Linked DNA regions of Arabidopsis thaliana. The protein of the gene in region 2 interacts with the protein of the main gene of each other region in a biochemical or structural test. Each region holds a gene or a part of one and is shown on either strand. Other genes may lie near its edges.

Region 1 (8,724 bases), on a different chromosome or scaffold from region 2:
TTAGAGAAGAAATATCAAAAGTCATTTGTATTGGGAAATGAAAACACTTTAATTACGAAACCAGAACGTCATCAATACTATCGTAATGCTATCTTTTCGTCTTCTTTCTAGTTTACGATGACTCATAATTACTTCTTCTATGAGATTTTCCCATTTCTACACCTTCCACGACTGAGACTGAAGATACTATTTACTAGGGAAACTTATATTCATCAACACTCTAATGCTTCAACATGTTTTTTAAACCTGAAAGTAAAAAAGCCTCACCATTGCCTAACAAAAAGACCAGTTTTATAAGTTTCACAATTCTAAGAGCATGATATGGGGTGATACTTATATAGTATCATGAGTAATTTTTTAGTATTATTTATAATATTTGATTTTTATTTGAGATTTTTTATGATACTCCTACTAAATATGATTATATTGGTGAGACCGGTTAAGTATAAAAAAATTTTTTTTGCAAATTCAAAAATTAATATATTATAACATAAGATTACTAAAGATTTTTTTTTTCTCTGATTTGAGCGAAAATATTGACCAACCGTATGCTGCAACGTCACATGATACTGAGTATCAAAGATATCAGTCCACTGATACAAATCAGACCCAAATTTATAATTTGATATAATTTTTGGTCTACTGATATCCAAAATAAATCACCCATTGGTCCATTTGGTGTTCTAGTGGCGGGCCCAAATGAAGCCAATAACAACACCTACAAGGCCACTACAGGCCCAACTCAACAATTATAGGCCCATCTTTATACTGTACCGTTAAGATAAACCTTGTCAAAATGGAATAAGAGAGAAACATCTCTTCTGGCGAAAAAAAAAAAAAGAGAAACATCTCTTCTACTATTGTTGTTGTTATTTTTGATGCTACAAACTACAAAGTACACTACAATACGAGGATTGCTATAAACAATTCAAAATCAACATCCTTTCTTTACAAACCTGAGAAATCAATGAGTCAATTGGTGTTTTTTTCAAGTGTCCCATATCATAACAATGGCAATGACAACAACTTCAAACAACACAGCCAAAAACTTATAACCAGGCTCATCCACATGGACCATCTTGTTTGGTCGATACCCTTTTGCCAATAAATGGTTCATAGACACATAAACAAATACCCCACACGCCAAGCTCATCGAAAGTGCCAATATCCATGACCGTCGCTGCGGTGGCTTCTCGACGCCATGGAACGTGCGTCTACGAGAGCTCACATATCAAACTCGAATGAAGGAAGCTGGTGTGTATGTGTTTGTGATCATCGAGCGTTTGTCATGATCCTGTCTTCTTGTGCCTATCTATCTTGGAGGCTCAAGAGATTGGTCAAGAAGTAAGAAGCTAGTAAAAGCCAATGGTATTGTAACAAAATTTGTTTTGTGAGCGAAAATGCATTGATCAGTAGTATGTATGCTAGGTGAGGTAACTTGGCAAAGCCACTTGCTGTTTTCGACATCTTACCTAACCTGGGTATAGCTATGGTTATTATAGTTATGTGGAACACAAGCACTTGTTTTTAGCTAGCGATACAAGTCATAACAAAGGAAGTTTATAGAATGCTGGATGAGGTAGAGACTTCTGTATTGGAGATTGCCCGAAACACGGAGTGTGGTTGAGATGGAGAGGTTAGACGTGAGCATAGTGAGAGGTTTGCAGTAACTTTTGGGATTTTCTATAGTATTCCAGGCACAGAGATTCTTGTTATAAAGAACCTGTGAAGGTTTTTGAAGATTTTGATGTCTTCATCAAGCAGGTTAGCAAGATTGTAGACTGCTGATTTGTTTTAAGAGATGCACGAATGTTCAGCGAAAGCAAGCGCGAATACAACAGAAGAGTCTGCAATGTTGTCGAGCAAAGCTGGACACACTCTCTTACATGTCTTTGTGTGTTTTTCAACTCCTTTTGCTTTTTATTCACAGATTACTAAGTTAGCTAATAAAAGATATTTCAGGTAGTCCATGAAACTACATCTTGACTTGTTTGAAACTTATTATTGTTTCTACAGTTTTTGCCTCTCTTTATGATCATTTCATTCATATATTGCTTTCATGGATGATTCATGATTCCCACTGCTTGGTCTCCATCCTTGCTGCACTTGAATTGTATACTGTAGATTCCACACAACGTCTTCTATGGAAGGACGCTTGCTCTGATCTTCGCAAAGACAGTTGATAGCAAACTCTACTGTCGTCCTCAACGACTCATAAGCATATGATCCTTTAACAGATGGATCTGCTAAGCTGCTCAATACTGATGGTTCATCTCTCAAACCGTTCTCCAGCTGCAGGAAATAATAACATTGAGGTTCTAAATTTGTAAGCCGTGTCGGATTCTTAAAGATGAAAAGGTTCTGACTGAAACAGAACAGACCTGAAGCTTCAAACTTCCCATCTCTGAAGATCCTGCAGCAACTACTTTCCCTGTGATGATTTGTAGTAGTATCACTCCAAACTGGTACACATCTTCTTTCTCTCTATCTTCATTACTGCACATTATTCATTAACAAGTTTCAAAATTTGATAGAAGAGAACACATTTGATCATATCTTAAGAAACAACAACAACCTCCGAGGTTTTTTGGCTTGAGGCCTCTCTTCTCCAACCTAGAAATGCCATTAAATTTTCTTAGATTCAATTAATAGAAGAAGAAATAAAACAAAGTTTTATACCTTGGATGGTAAAGGAATAGTATAGCCACTGATTTTTACTGTGAGTGTTTCATCAAGCATGATGTTCTCTATCTTCAAATTGTTCCCAAAGATTCCTGGTGCTACTCCCATATGCAAGAACTGTATCCCTCGAGCGACTCCTATTGCTATCGCCATTCTCTGAGGCCATTTCAGTACCTCTTTCTTCCTACAGTCTGATCACAAAAATTCCCATAATGAATAACCATTTGAGTCTATGGAAACCTGAATATATATTCTAATCTTTTTCAGGTTATTATTACTTGTGAGAAAGTCCCGCAATGATCCACTAGAGATGTATTCTTGAACAATGAAGATGGTGTGTCCAGCGTGTTGATTGTGGTCTTGGTTACTGGCAATGGAGTGTCCAAGAACGCTAACCAAATGCATATGCCTTAGCTTTGATAAAACTTCCATCTGTTGAGCTAAGCTTTGTGGCAAGCTCTTCTGCTTCAGCTTGATAACTCGCACTGTCACTGGTATGCCTTCTCTTAGACAACCTCTATACAGCTGTTCGAATACCAAATATATTAAGTAATCTATTAGGTTCGTCGCCAGAGTCTCAAGTCAAGTTTTTGTTTTTACCTGTTCGCAGAACAGGCTAGCTGCATCAAAGTCGTTAGTCGCTTCTTCCAGTTCCTCCAAGGAGAAAACGCGGTACGGTGGCAAACCAATCACTGCAGATCTCATTGTCTGTGGTACACGTCCTACACTCAGAAAGATCCTGTTAATGGTTTTTGCTAGAGAAAGACTCAGTTTCAAGTGTCCAAGTATTAATAAGATAAGTCATTGTTTACTTGAATCTGGTAATGACTTAGAGCTGGCAGTTGTGGTGCTGCAAACAGAGACTTTATCAGAGGCATGTCTCTCATTGTTGCTGTTGTTCACTTCAAAAGGATCATCTTCTGATCTTGATCTTCTTCTTTTGAGGGCAATCAAAACCAACAGAACCAAAATTGCTGCAAGGATGATCACACCGATGATTATCAAAATCACTAACCCGAGTTTGATTCTTGCAGAATCTTTATCTTTAGCCTTGGGGATAGGTTCCACAGCTATTGCCTTGCTTGCTTGGTTTTGACAGAAAGAAAGCGGACGCTGATACTTCGCGTTAGGAGTGCCAATCAAAGACAAGCAGTTGAATGAGAAAAGCACTGTCTGATTACTGAAACTCTTTGAAGAGTAGCAAGAAGGAAGCTTTCCAGTTAAAAGATTGTGAGACACGTCTAAAGTTATAATCTTTGAGGAGGTGCAAGAAGAATTTGGAAGTGACCCGCTTAACAGATTCTGATCCAAACTGAGAATTTGAAGAGAAGGAATCGAAAACAGAAACTCTGGAATCGACCCGGTGAATTCGTTGGAAGAAAGGTCTAAACTTTGAAGGTTATTCAGCTTCTTGATCTGTTCTGGAATCTTGGATCTAAAGGAGTTGTTCTTCAATGAAACAGTGGTGAGCTTACTTGGGAGTGAAGGAACTTCAGGACCGAGTTTATTACCTCCCAAATCCAGCTCTTGAAGATTTGATAATCCTCTGAGATCATCAGAGACAAAACCCCAGAACATATTGTCTCTTAAAACAAGGCTTTTCAGATTCTTCAAAGACACAATCTCTTCTGGAATCTTCCCAGAGATGAAATTAGAGCTAAGATTGAGAGACTCAAGAGACGGTGATAGCTTAGTGATGATCTTAGGAGAAAGAGAACCAGAAATTCCGAGAGAAGTAAGAGACAAAGTCTTTAAGCTCGATAGTTGTGTAAGAAGAGTGAAGAGTTTATGAAAACTTCCAGAGAGCTTACTAGTTCTGTTCCCGGTGACGGTTAACTCTGTTACGTGACCATGGAGGCAGATGATTCTCAAGGAAGGAGACGGACGAATGTGACAGAAGTTGGTTGTATCAGTCCATGATTGAAGAACCTGTGGATATTGTAGTTGCTTCTGGATTTCAAGAAGAGTTTGTGATTCACTTGAAGCTACCTGAGACTCAGAGAGTACTGGAAGAAGGAAAATAAGAAGAAGAAAAGTGAAGGAAGATAAATGGATTTGAAGAGAAATCTGCATAGTGAAGATGTGTTTTGCCTTTAGAGAAACAGAAACTCACTGAAAGTTATCATTTTTCTAGGAACAAAGACAGATCTATAGGTAGTGTAGAGGAAAACTTTGGATCAAGAGAAGAAGAAGAAGAAGTAAATGAAAGTAGAAAAGCCAATTAAGGTGGAGGCAATAAATGCAATCTTTAAGTTCTTAAACTTGGTTTGGTTGTTTGTTCATTACTGCACATTGCACAACCTCAACTTGACAGACTGTTTTGCAATGAATCCAAGAAGATGAAATGTTTATTTATTTGATTTGATTACTACTATAACAAATTAACAATAAGAACTTGTATTTCACATGATTTTTGCTTTGTTTTATTAGTAAAACAAGTGCTTTTGGTTATATATGATTGATCAGATAAGATTATAGAGATGTTTCATTACTTGTCGGTGATAGGTAATGAGGATTAAGAAATTTATGTCGTGTTTTGTCTTCGAGAGAGAGAGAGAAGCCATTAGGTTTGTGTCTTTTCTTTAAAAGTGTGGTTAGAGATTCTACCAAATGTCGAGCTGTTTCTTTTATTCTGATGAACTGTTCATTTACTAATGTTAGAAAATTTGAATGGATTTTATATGATCAAGCACATCTGCACATGCAAACGGCCTTGGAATAATCGTCACTGCGAAAGTATCATTTAATATTTTCTGCAACAGACATTTTTTTTTTATCGAAAAATATGCATTTAAAATTCAATTATTTAATTTTTATTAAAATTCAATTATTTAATTTTATTAAAATTCAATTACAAATCAAGTTTGACAAAAAAAAAGAGAGGTTATTTTGGGCTTCATACGTGTAACATTTAGCCCGTATATTATATATAATACGGTTAGGCCCAAAATTGTACAACCTTTGAGTCCATATATATTTCCAAATATTTTAGTTTCTATATGATTTTTTTTTTTTTTTTTTTTTTGACAAGTAATTATACAAAAAATGATTTACTTAACATTGGGACATATATGTACTATGCTTATTCCTTGTGAATGCTAATACAGTAAATTATTTATAAACTAATCCTCGATAAATTACTATTTTTACAAATTAATAAATTCTTGACGTTTTCAATGTAATAAATAACACAAATCAATGAAATTATAAAATAATAAGTTTTTAAAAACTCTTACGTAAACATATGATCTCATCAATATCATAAATTAATAATTTTACACTTATTAATATATATATATATATATTTAATTAAATTAGTGGGATTTAACTCTAGTATTGTTCATTTTTCTTAAATTTGTATAAAATTTTTAGTAGAGTTCATTTCTAATATTTTTACTATATTGAACAAAGTGTTTTTTGTTTACTAACTTAACAATTGGTTTTTTATTTGTAATTTATTTTTGAAAGACATTGATTATAAAGACAAAAACTACTTCTCACATAGAAATTTTAAAAAATTACAAAATTAATAAAATCTCTCTATAAGATTTATTAATAAATTAATACCTTTATAAATTAATTAGAATTTATCGGTTCCGAGATTATTAATTTATTAAGGTTTAAAACTGAGCCTATAAACAAAAGAGGAGGAACAAGATCGTATTTCTAGGGTCTCAAACTACAAAAATGTAATGTATGAATTCATTGTAATCTATTTCAGTTTGTTTTTTACTTAGCTATTTAGGATCCTAGAATTTATTTATGAGCTTCTTTTGATTAAACAAAACTTTCGATTATTGTGTTTCAAGAAAAGTAAACTTCTCGGATCCTAAAACTTTGATTAGACGTCATAACATGTTTTTTATTCAGAATCTGATTTGCAGCTTTTTTGCCTTTCATTTACTGTTTTACACTAAATATATAGACAATCATCAAAATTTAAAATCTTCTATTTAGTTTTAGCTCATTTATTAAAGATCAACTGTACAAAAGTTGTAAAACAAATTCCAGTGAATGATGGTAATAAGAAATAACTTAAAATGATTATAAAGTATTACATGTTTATAGCTAAACCACATGATATGACACTTAACATTCTAATAGTTTAATTTGAATTTGGATGGTGACAAAATGATGACTCTAATACGATTTAGTTTATCTTTTGTTAATTATGTGTGTCTATCTTTCTTAGATATATTTATGTGAATGAAATAATTATTTATATGTTTTTATTATTTGATTAAAATCAATAAAATTTGTTGTAACTTAGAAATCTAGGCTTATTTCGAATTTATCTCAAATTGAGATCTAAGATTAAGTATGAGTGTTTTTGGATTGATGACAAGAGTTTTAACCATTATAATACGTTTCTTTATAATTGTAGGATTACTGCTCATGGAGGCTAATTGATCGGCATTGAGACAAAGAAAAAGTTAGTTTTCGTTTCAGATTATGATTCTATTTTTTTAGTTAGTGTTTTTTCTTTGTTGCTTTTAATTGAATATAGACATTTGTTGGGCAATTGTTTATGTAAGTCAATATGAGATAGACTTAGAGGAGTAAACACAATTGTTTATGTACGTCAACAGAGCGATTTGAGTAACGAGAATGAAAAGAGTCTTTCTGTTGTTTTAATCAGCTTTTGATAATATTTATAAAATATTCGACTTGATCTGTTAATTAAATAATTTGAAATTCAAGTATCAGTTGTTCTTATACCAAATTACAGTTTTAGCAGTATATTTTTGTAAATGAAGTGAAGATTATAAAGTATTATATGTTTATAGCTTCTTTTTTTGGTTAACTATTTATAGCTAAATCATATGATATGACACTTAGCATTCTAATAATTTAATTTTAATTTAGATGGTGACAGAACGATGATTCTAATAAAATTTAGTGTGTACTATAGATAATGTCATAGTTAACGTAGTAATAATTCATTACTACAATAAAAAGAAAAAAGAAAGTTTCTTTTTTTTTTGGTCATTATGTGTTCATCCACTTTGGTTGATTGACTTATTGTACCACCCTTACACAATTTGAATAAACGTAATTAACAAACATTTAATGCGTTTCAAAATCGGGAATTAGCAGATTAACCACTTGAATAACGACAGCATTAATTCTCAATTAAATTTTTTTATTAACTCAACTAGAAAATAAAGATATTTAAATAAATTCCAATACATTGTACAAATAATTGGGCTCATACCACCAATAAGCCCACTAATAAAGCCCATTATTAAAAATCAGACAAAACACAGTCGTTTCATCATGCCTTTATTGTTCCGCTTTCTCTGCTTTTGTTTTTATCTCTCTCTCACATTACAAACGGTGAGTGTAATTTCTCACTGTAACCACTTTTTGGTTTTTTAGGTCACTGCTCCGACGAAGACCCTTCTAACAAGACAACATTTTGAAGAACATAACAGTAACGATTCGCTACATTGTGAGCTCTATTTCAGATTCTACATTTTAAATTCTTGTTTTGTACACTTTTTAGGAAAAAAAAACTCACAACAAAAAAATGTTTCCGCTTTTGATTTCTTCTACTCAGATCTGAGTATTCACTGTTACTCCATCTTCTTCTTCGCTTTGATTTTGGTTACAAAGTATCTCTCTTTTCGATTTTGTATCTCTATTTTGTTCGGGGAACGAAACGGTTTTTGTGTGTTTTCTGGTATTTGTTCATATGAAATTTAGGTTTTTTCCCGCTAAATCGACATGGGTTTTGGTTTGTAATCTTCAAAATCTCTGCTTTTGTTCACTTTAGTTGATGGGTTCTTTGGCTTTCGTTACTTTTGATTTTCGGCTCTCTCTTTTGATTCATGCCACTTTTGCTTTAATCACTGCACCGTCGATGTCTGTGTTCGTCTTGTTTGTAACTGTTAGGTTTAATCTCCCTCTCTCTCTCTCTCTGATTTATGTCTTGTGTGTGTTTCTAGGGTTTCTAGTTATGGAATATGTTTCAGCCTTGTGTAAAATTGATGCTTCCATGACTTTTGCGACCGTATATTTGATGTGTGTTACTTGAAAGTG
Region 2 (9,807 bases):
GTGGATGGTAGAAAGCATGAATGGCTCCAGATCGGAGGCACCCAGCGACAACAAAAGGGTTGCTTCAGGGCAGAGAGACTTGAGAAATAGGTGTGATGGAGTGAGTAATACCGCCTTGGGTGATGAAGGGTTGCTGGACAATCGCAGCTGGTGGAATGGTGTGACCAGAGGATTCTTCAGAACTGGGAGGCTCCATGACTCGGTACGTAAGTCAATGGCTCTTGTTGCTCATTTGTTGGCTAAGTTTCCTCTGGTAGTCATATTCCTGTTGATGGCTTTATATGCAATCCCTGTGAGTGCTGCAGTTCTCGGGGTTTATTTCTTTGTTACGTTTGCTTTGGCTGTCCCGTCGTTTCTCGTCCTTTATTTTGCCTTCCCGAGCTTAAACTGGCTGATCAGAGAGATTGCAACCTGACTCATTGTACTGTTTCTTTCTTCCTGTATGTTTCCTGACTTGTAAGAAACACGAGATAGAGCCAACGTTGTTTACACTCAATATAGACAAGAAGAAGAGAAGATCTTTATTTTCAGATTGTGTCTCTGTACATTGCGAACAAAACTACCTTTCTCTATCCCTATCTGTCTGATAACAATGAGGTTCTGTGTACAAGAAGAATCAGAAACAATGAAACGAAAAATGGTGAAGAAGAAAACTCTGTTGTTCTGTATAATAAATCTGAAAGAAGAAAAGAAAGAAAGATTTTTACATTTCTATGTAACCTTGTGAAGATAAGCCATTGAAGAGCTCTGCTTTACCGGATATCTTAACCAACATAGCTAGAACTTCTTTCATGTTTGGTCTTGCCTGAGGATGATCAGCTGTACACTTCACACCAATCTTTAGTAGCTCAGTCATTTGCTCAGCTCCGTTCCCTGGTTTGGTCCCTGACAGGGTTATTGGTGAACCTTTGGCTGTCATGTTACCTGTCATTACACGTCTTGCCCATTCGACCAAACACTCTTCTCCTCCATCAACAGCTCTTCTACCCGTCGCGAGTTCCATGGTCAATACTCCGTAGCTGTAAACATCTCCTCTTGTGGTGGCTTGCCAAGTTTGTCCATACTCGGGAGCTACATACCCGATTGTGCCTGCAATCACTGTGCTCACATGGCTATCTCCTACATTTAAGAGTCTTGCTAGTCCAAAATCCGTCACTCTCGCATTCCCGTGTTTATCCAAAAGAACGTTACTGGCTTTGACGTCTCTGTGAACGATGGAAGGGTAGCATTCGTGGTGTAAAAACACTAATCCCCTTGCTACATCTGTGGCTATATCAATACGTTTCTTCCATTGAAGTTTTGTTTTGTCTGTGATGAGCTCCTCTAAGCTCCCGCCTCCCATGTATTCGTGCACCAAGATTTTCTCTGACCCATCTAGGCACCATCCATATAGCCTCACGAGGTTCGGATGTGCCCAATCTCCAAATGCGTTGGCACTTAGAACTTCCATTTCAGCTCTGAACTCTTTCTCTGCTTCTGTGCCTTCCCTCTGAAGCTTCTTGACTGCAACTTCTCTTCCATCAGGCAATACGCCTCTGTAAACAGTTCCATAGCCTCCCCTACCTACCACTCTCTCCTCAGAGAAGTTACTGGTTGCTTTCAGAATGTCAGCGTATGTGAAAGTTGATTTGTCTAAGCGAATGACCTTGATTTTTCCTGATAGCCATGGCGATGATCCACCTGAACTGGAAGTCATGTCATGTCTGGTTTTCGACCCATCTAAGAGATCGATTTCTGCTTCCCTTGAAGCCTTAACAACCATAAGTACAATACCTGATACCACTAAACATGCAATAAACGCCAATGCAAGAGCCAAGGAAATCCAAATCAAAAGAAGAGTTCTTGGCCTGTTTCCTAGGACTTGGTTGGAAATCTTCCTCGTGTTGTTCCCTGATTGGTTGAAGAAACTAGGAAACCGCAGCAGCGGATTTCCAAGAAAGGAGTCTTTGTCAAAGGTTGCTACTTGTCCTGTTGTTGGTATCGCGCCAGAAATGAAAGGGTTATATGAGATGTTGAACTTACTCAGCTCATTCAAGTCATTCAAACTCGTTGGAAAGTTTCCAGAGAAATTGTTGAAAGACAGATCAAGATTCTGCAGGCACTTCAGATTTCCGATTTCTTGAGGAATCTCGCCCGAGAAATTGTTTCGAGTAAGGTTGAGGAATGCAAGAGGCAATTGTCCTATCTCTGGAGGCAGTTTCCCCTCAAACTCATTGAAACCCAAATGTAGTGTGCTCAGCCTGTCCATCTGAGAGATGCTTGCAGGAATCTCACCTGAAAACTTATTTCCACTGAGCTGAAGATAGGCTGAAATTTTAAGCGTGCGTACCGTGGAACCAGCAGAACAGACAGGAAAGAGACCGTACCCTTTGAGAACATGGTCCCATAGGCTTCTGCAACTCTTTTTGGTTAGAATTGCGTATACAAAGTTGAACGGAGGGAACTCCGCTGGAATCCATCTCTTCATCGCCAAGCATTCACCAGAACCAGCAATTATCTTGTCTTTGTTTTGCCTATTCACTTCAAATGTTGGAGAAGGATTACTCCCCATTCTAGTCAATTCAGGATGGAATCTACCAGAGAGCTGGTTGTTTGCCACGTTAAACCACAAAAGGCTTGTGCAGTTGCCAATCTCTCGAGGGATTTCTCCTGATAGAGAGTTGTTTGCAAGCATTAGCCACAAAAGAGAGGTCAATTTCCCAAATGAAGCTGGTATCGAACCGGTCAGCTTGTTAAAGGAGAGATCAAGTGCTTGAAGCCCCGGCATGTTCCCATACTCCTGTGGTATATCGCCACTGAAGTTATTATAAGCAAGAATCAAGAACTTCAAACTCTGTATCTGAGAAATTTCAGTAGGTAACTGTCCCGAGAAATTGTTGTAGCCCAAATCTAGCCTTGAAAGATTGGGTAACTTGAGGATGTTGGAAGAATTGATGCCTCCTACGTATGAGTTTGCATGCAAGACTAGATACTTTACTTGCGTGAATCTCCCAAAGATTTCTTGAATGTCTCCTCCAAATTTGTTTCTGCTCAAATCCAGAAACACCAAGTTGGTCAAGTTCAGGAGAGTTTCCGGTATGTCTCGAGAAAATGTATTATTCCCCAAGTACAAACCTTTGAGAGAGGATATGGAACCAATCTCAGCTGGAATGTTCCCTGTGAACTTGTTTCCCCAAAGATTCAGTACATTTAGATTCTGGCAATTCGAAACTTGGCCTGGAAATTCCCCACCAAAAGCGTTCCCAGACAAATCCAACATTTGCAAAGTACAGTTCCCCCTGAACATTGAAGCAGAGATATTCCCGGAGAGATGATTATCAGCAACTGAAAACTCGACCAGCCTCCCAAAACCAGTCCACACTTCTCCACTGAATCTATTGGAACTGAAGTCAACATACTTGAGATTCCTACACCCGTTGAAGATGTCATCGATTCTTCCAGTAAAGTTGTTGGTCGACAGATTTGCAACAACCAAACTGTTGCAGAACAATGGGAAGCTAGACTGAATATCACCCGTAATCCTATTCAACGAAAGATCAAGAACCTCAAGATTTGACAACCCGGGTAAACTTAGCTCTCCTTCAAGGATATTATGAGAAAGATTCAGATGCTTTAAGTTGTGACAACGGCTCAAGTCATCTGGAATCTCCCCTTCGATCGTATTCCTTGATAAATCGAGATATGTGAGCTCCGTTAAAGCGGAGAAGTTCTTGAATAGAGGACCTGAAATGGTGGAATCAGTTAGATTGATCCCTGTAACTCTACTTCTCTGAGGTGTACATATGATTCCAGGCCATTGACACACAACATCTTGGTTCTCCATTTTCCATTCCGTGTATAGTCCTCGGTTCTGTGGGTTCCGTGATTCAAGGTACGATTTTAGGCTTAACAAGACTTCTCTATCACTGTCCAGAGAATCTCCAGCCACTGCTATAGCTGCCATAGAAGAAAAACATCAAAAAACTCAGCTAAAATACTCATCAACGACATCAAACAGAGTAAAAATTAAAACTTTGCGATTCATTTACGTACAATGTAAAACCTTGAATTGATGAAAGCAATGAAACCCCCAAAAAATCACGTCAAATTTTAAAACCCTGAACCCATTTGAAGGAAACGTGAAAGAAACAGAAACCCAAAACTCATACTCAAGAAGAGAAGACATTACAATTCCCAAAAACTCTCAACGAAACTCAAATTCAAACAACAGAAGAAGAGAAGAAATTACCAGTGATGAAAAAGAAGAGTAAGAAACAAAGAAAGCAAAGTGACTGAGAATCATCATCCGTCATGATCACACGCGTCACCATAGTCATCGTCCTCCTCCACTTGGTCTTCTTGGTTTGCTTCTTTACTGTCCTCTGCGATGTTCCTCGAGAAGATGTGGAAATTATCGGGGAAGAAGATGAATTTCATGGAAATTCATGTGTGGAAAGAGATTTGAGAAAAAGAGAAGTTGGAAAAAAACACAAAGCAGCCCGCACGTAGACCAAGCAACTGAAAAACTTTGAACATCACACAGATTTATTCCTATTTATTAGACTTTTCCTCAAACACAAAAATTAATTACAAAAAGGTGAAATTGAGTCATCATATTATGCTAATTTTGACCCGTATAAACGTATATATTACGTTACTAGTCTTTATCAAAAATTTCTTAAGGAAAAATACCGCATTTGTTGAATATTTCAAAAATTGAACTTTGAAGTCGTTTAGAACAAAAACAAAATTGATGTTTTATCGACTAGATGAGTCTCATATGACTAAAACTAAACCATAACTCATTTTAGTTCTCCTTAGAAAAAGTAAACAATTACAAATATTGTTTTTGATTCACCATTAGCTTTTCTTTTAATTTGTACGGTACCACTTGCGCACTCAAGAACTTATCCTAGTGGGTAACATTTAATAAATTTTGACAGTTTGAACTTATATATATTGAAGTATGTGTGAGTTTAGAAATTTTAATCGTGTGATTTGGTTAAAAAAACCATAAAATTAGATTACTTTATTTAAGTTAACTCGCGAGGGCAACAATTAGGTGAGCAGTTGTGACATCTAAGTTGACCGGTCCAGAGTAGTTTGACTTCGTGTCAGAGTTGGTAAGTTTATGATAATAGATAAAACTTTTGCATAATGTAAATCTAAAAATTACGTTACATACAATATATGGTGAATGTGACTTATGTAGCATTAAAAGATATATTTGCTTCTCCAGAGATTTAAAAGTGTTATTTAACTAAGTTTTAGACGACTAAAGAGAAGAAATTGGCATCATTTTGAAATGTTCAAAAAATTAAAGATATTTTACTAAAAAGAGGTTAACAAAATATACATGTATATGGTGGGGTCCAATGTGATTCATATGGACGGCACTAGTTGACTTACTTCGTGCTTTGACCAATGTTTTTTTTTTAAATCATTGTTAATCATTAAATCTCATCTTATTCGTTTCTTTTGTTTGTTATTTATTTTCCCGTTATAAATATTTTTCTCTTACCTTTTTTTTTTCTTCGTGATAAGAGTCAAATGCGTGTATTATTTTACCTTGATTAGTCTAAGTATTCAATTAATTTTGAATTGAATAGTATAACACTTCGTGATAGACCATTGATATTTTTTTGAATTAGAAAATTCAGAGGCTACTATTCTCTTCCATAAAGAGAACAATATAAAAAAGGAATTATAGTTAATTGCTAAAATGATATTTTGTGTCATTAGAAACAAAATCTGCAAAAAGTAGTATTACTCAGAAACAAATCAAACTTTCAAAGTTGTTGATAGATGATATGCAACAAGATTTAGGATAATCATCTAATATTTTTTATCTTAAAAATAGTCTACTTATATGTTTATCAACTACAGTCATATTTCTATAACTTCAATTTTATTACTTTAAAGATACAGTAGTAGCTTCAAGCTTCAACTAATCATAGTAGGAAGTTGAATCACTCTCTTCTGCCACATATGTTTCAAGCATCCATGTTGTGTCTTCTGACACTAGAATGCATAATGATCAAAATTCTAAAAAAATCAAAGTGGTACCAATTTTAAAGTTATTAACTTCCACCAGTTGAAAAGAAAAAACTAAAGGAAACCTCCGATAAAAAAACAATGGTCCATTCAACAACACTAAGGACGTGTGAATGGTATTGAGCCAACATTGTTCATGCCAAAACAACTAAGGCAAACAACTAAGGCGACCAAACAAAAGAAAATTTTGCTATGAAATTTAAAAGTCCATGCCACTTGAAAGCCACGTCGTTTGTGCGTTTTGGTTTTTCTCTGCGTACCCATTTGTTGTTTTGATGTTTCCATTGGTCAAATTCAACATTATCACCTAAAATAACTTGCACATGCACGACACCAAATTAAATAGCTTTGGATCCAATAAGAGAAAGTATATATTGTAGGTACTAATATATCCACTCGCTCTAATCCGACCCAAACCCGAGTTCTTGAACCTTGAAACCTTTTAAACAATTAGAGGTTTAGGGGGTACGTAAACTTAAAACGTAGCTCAATATTAGATATTATTGTATTCGTGGGGGAATGAATATAAGCAAAGCATGAAGCAACGCATTTTACATATAAGAAAGTGTCAATTGATAGGAAACTGATAAACAATTGAACAAGTAGATGATGTCGGTCCACCGCGTAGGAAGAGCTGATCACTCATGTTTCTATCTTAATTATCAAACTGAATTAACGAATTTATTAATTTAATCATTTATCATTTAATGATATTTTTGTCTATATTTTTTCTTGCGCTTTCATGGTAAATGAAACTGCCTCATTGTTGCGTACTAAATTACCTGTAAGTCTGTTATAAAAAAAATGTTTAAAACATAAATATTCTACAACTAAAGGTGTCAAAATGTAATTTATAGAAGTAAGCAATAGTTTATGTTATTTCATAAATAGTCCCTCCTTCCTTCCTATTCTCAAGTCACGAGTTCTTCTTCTCAATCTCGAGTAATTCACTGTGCAAAGCAAGAGCTTCTTCGATTTCTATCTCTCAGACCAATCGTGCTTTTCGCATCCCTGAACGTAAGTTTCCTTCCATTTCTGTGTTGATTTAAGCAAAGAGATTGATAAAAACCTGATTCGTCCCGTTTCATTGTAGAAACTTTGTACTGGCTTAGTCGGGATATAATCGCATAGGTTTTAGAATTAGGAATCGGAATTTTAACTTGATGTTTAGGAAACGGAACCTAGTTTTAGATTTGTTGCGCCGATGTTACATAGAAACCCTAATCCCACGGGGCTTATGGAGTCGCACAATCTCCACGTTTCCCAAATCGGCTCTGCTTGCAACAGATAATGCAGAAATGGCTAGTAAGGAAACTGGAATGTTTTCACTAGCTGGGGAATTAGCTTCTCTTGTAGAAGAATCTTCTTCTCATGTTGATGATGATAGCAAACCTAGAAGTCGTATGGAACTAAAACGATCTCTTGAACTCCGGTTGAAGAAAAGAGTCAAAGAGCAGTGCATCAATGGGAAGTTTAGTGATCTGTTGAAGAAGGTGATTGCAAGGCCTGAAACTCTCCGGGATGCTTATGATTGTATTAGGCTTAACTCCAATGTTTCTATAACAGAAAGAAATGGTAGTGTCGCGTTTGATTCTATTGCAGAAGAGCTCTCTAGTGGGGTGTTTGATGTTGCTTCAAATACGTTTTCGATTGTGGCTAGAGATAAAACAAAAGAGGTCCTTGTCTTGCCTAGTGTAGCTCTTAAAGTTGTCCAAGAGGCTATCAGAATAGTTCTTGAAGTTGTTTTCAGTCCTCATTTTTCTAAGATTTCACATAGTTGTCGAAGCGGAAGGGGACGTGCCTCTGCATTGAAGTACATCAACAACAATATTTCTCGTTCGGATTGGTGTTTCACTTTGAGCCTGAACAAAAAACTTGATGTTTCTGTTTTCGAGAACTTGCTCTCTGTAATGGAGGAAAAAGTAGAAGACAGCAGTTTAAGCATCTTACTCCGTTCTATGTTTGAAGCCCGGGTGCTCAATCTCGAGTTCGGAGGATTTCCCAAGGGCCATGGTCTTCCACAAGAAGGGGTGTTGTCCCGTGTATTAATGAACATATATCTTGATCGGTTTGATCATGAATTTTATAGAATCTCAATGAGGCATGAAGCCCTTGGTCTTGATTCAAAGACTGATGAAGATAGCCCAGGCTCAAAACTTCGTTCCTGGTTTAGGAGGCAAGCCGGAGAACAAGGTTTGAAAAGTACTACAGAGCAGGACGTTGCACTCAGAGTTTATTGCTGCAGATTTATGGATGAGATATATTTCTCTGTGTCTGGTCCCAAGAAAGTTGCAAGTGATATCAGATCTGAAGCTATAGGTTTCTTACGGAACTCACTGCATTTGGACATCACAGATGAGACAGACCCGTCACCATGTGAAGCGACCAGTGGGCTTCGTGTTTTGGGTACCTTGGTTAGGAAAAATGTTAGGGAGAGTCCCACTGTCAAAGCTGTTCACAAGTTAAAGGAGAAGGTTAGGCTCTTTGCATTGCAGAAAGAAGAGGCTTGGACCTTAGGTACAGTTAGAATTGGAAAGAAATGGTTAGGACATGGATTGAAGAAAGTCAAAGAGTCAGAAATCAAAGGTTTGGCGGATAGTAACTCTACCTTGAGTCAAATATCTTGCCACAGAAAGGCAGGCATGGAAACAGATCATTGGTATAAGATCTTGCTTAGAATATGGATGGAGGACGTGCTAAGAACCTCTGCAGATAGAAGCGAGGAGTTTGTCTTGTCCAAGCATGTTGTAGAACCTACTGTTCCTCAAGAACTAAGAGATGCGTTTTACAAGTTCCAAAACGCTGCTGCGGCATATGTTTCATCAGAGACGGCTAATCTGGAAGCGCTTTTGCCATGTCCACAATCTCATGATAGACCTGTTTTCTTTGGTGATGTTGTCGCTCCGACTAATGCTATAGGAAGGCGTCTTTATCGCTACGGATTAATAACAGCCAAGGGTTATGCTCGTTCAAATTCTATGCTTATTTTGCTAGATACTGCCCAAATAATTGATTGGTATTCAGGACTTGTTCGGCGATGGGTGATTTGGTATGAAGGCTGTAGTAATTTTGATGAGATAAAGGCTCTTATTGATAATCAGATCAGAATGTCATGCATCCGTACTTTGGCAGCAAAATATCGAATACATGAAAATGAAATAGAGAAACGCCTTGATTTGGAACTGAGCACTATTCCCTCTGCTGAAGATATAGAACAGGAAATACAACATGAGAAACTAGATTCTCCTGCTTTTGACAGGGATGAACATCTAACATACGGCCTTTCCAATAGTGGTTTGTGTTTATTGTCTTTAGCTCGATTAGTGAGCGAATCAAGGCCTTGCAATTGCTTCGTAATTGGTTGTTCGATGGCTGCACCTGCTGTTTATACTTTACATGCAATGGAGAGACAGAAGTTTCCAGGTTGGAAAACTGGATTTTCTGTTTGTATTCCTTCTAGCTTAAATGGAAGGAGAATAGGGCTGTGTAAGCAACACCTCAAAGATCTGTATATAGGTCAAATATCACTTCAAGCTGTTGATTTTGGAGCCTGGAGATGATTACTACTCTCCACGACAAGAGTCTTGCAAGTGTTTGATTCTTCCTAGGTCAACTCTGATTCGTTTTAGGCAGTTGTTGAGCTTTGTGTATCTGATGTCTAGCAAATCATATGTCCGGTGATTATCGTTCTTCAAATGTTTTAATTTCTAGAGGCCTTGTGCAGTAGCACAGTTTGCATACCCTCAGAACATAAAACCATGGCATTAGCTGGTC

The links.
Region 1: the proteins of AT1G74360 (region 2) and AT2G02780 form a complex in vitro, tested with the Arabidopsis thaliana proteins (one large-scale study listed by BioGRID).

What each region holds. Positions count from the first base shown.
Region 1 is NC_003071.7:779,892-788,615, forward strand, and holds AT2G02780 (Leucine-rich repeat protein kinase family protein), read right to left. Parts: upstream 5,032-8,724; 5' UTR 4,756-5,031; coding exon 3,495-4,755; intron 3,405-3,494; coding exon 3,283-3,404; intron 3,208-3,282; coding exon 2,961-3,207; intron 2,874-2,960; coding exon 2,680-2,873; intron 2,614-2,679; coding exon 2,576-2,613; coding exon of another isoform or gene 2,551-2,575; exon of another isoform or gene 2,497-2,550; coding exon 2,382-2,496; coding exon of another isoform or gene 2,319-2,381; exon of another isoform or gene 2,293-2,318; coding exon 2,041-2,292; 3' UTR 1,783-2,040; downstream 1-1,782.
Region 2 is NC_003070.9:27,948,808-27,958,614, reverse strand, and holds AT1G74360 (Leucine-rich repeat protein kinase family protein), read right to left. Parts: upstream 4,487-9,807; 5' UTR 4,317-4,486; coding exon 4,229-4,316; exon of another isoform or gene 3,937-4,228; coding exon 704-3,936; 3' UTR 501-703; downstream 1-500. Other genes in the region: AT1G74370 (RING/U-box superfamily protein), read left to right, coding at 1-415; AT1G74350 (Intron maturase, type II family protein), read left to right, coding at 7,332-9,593.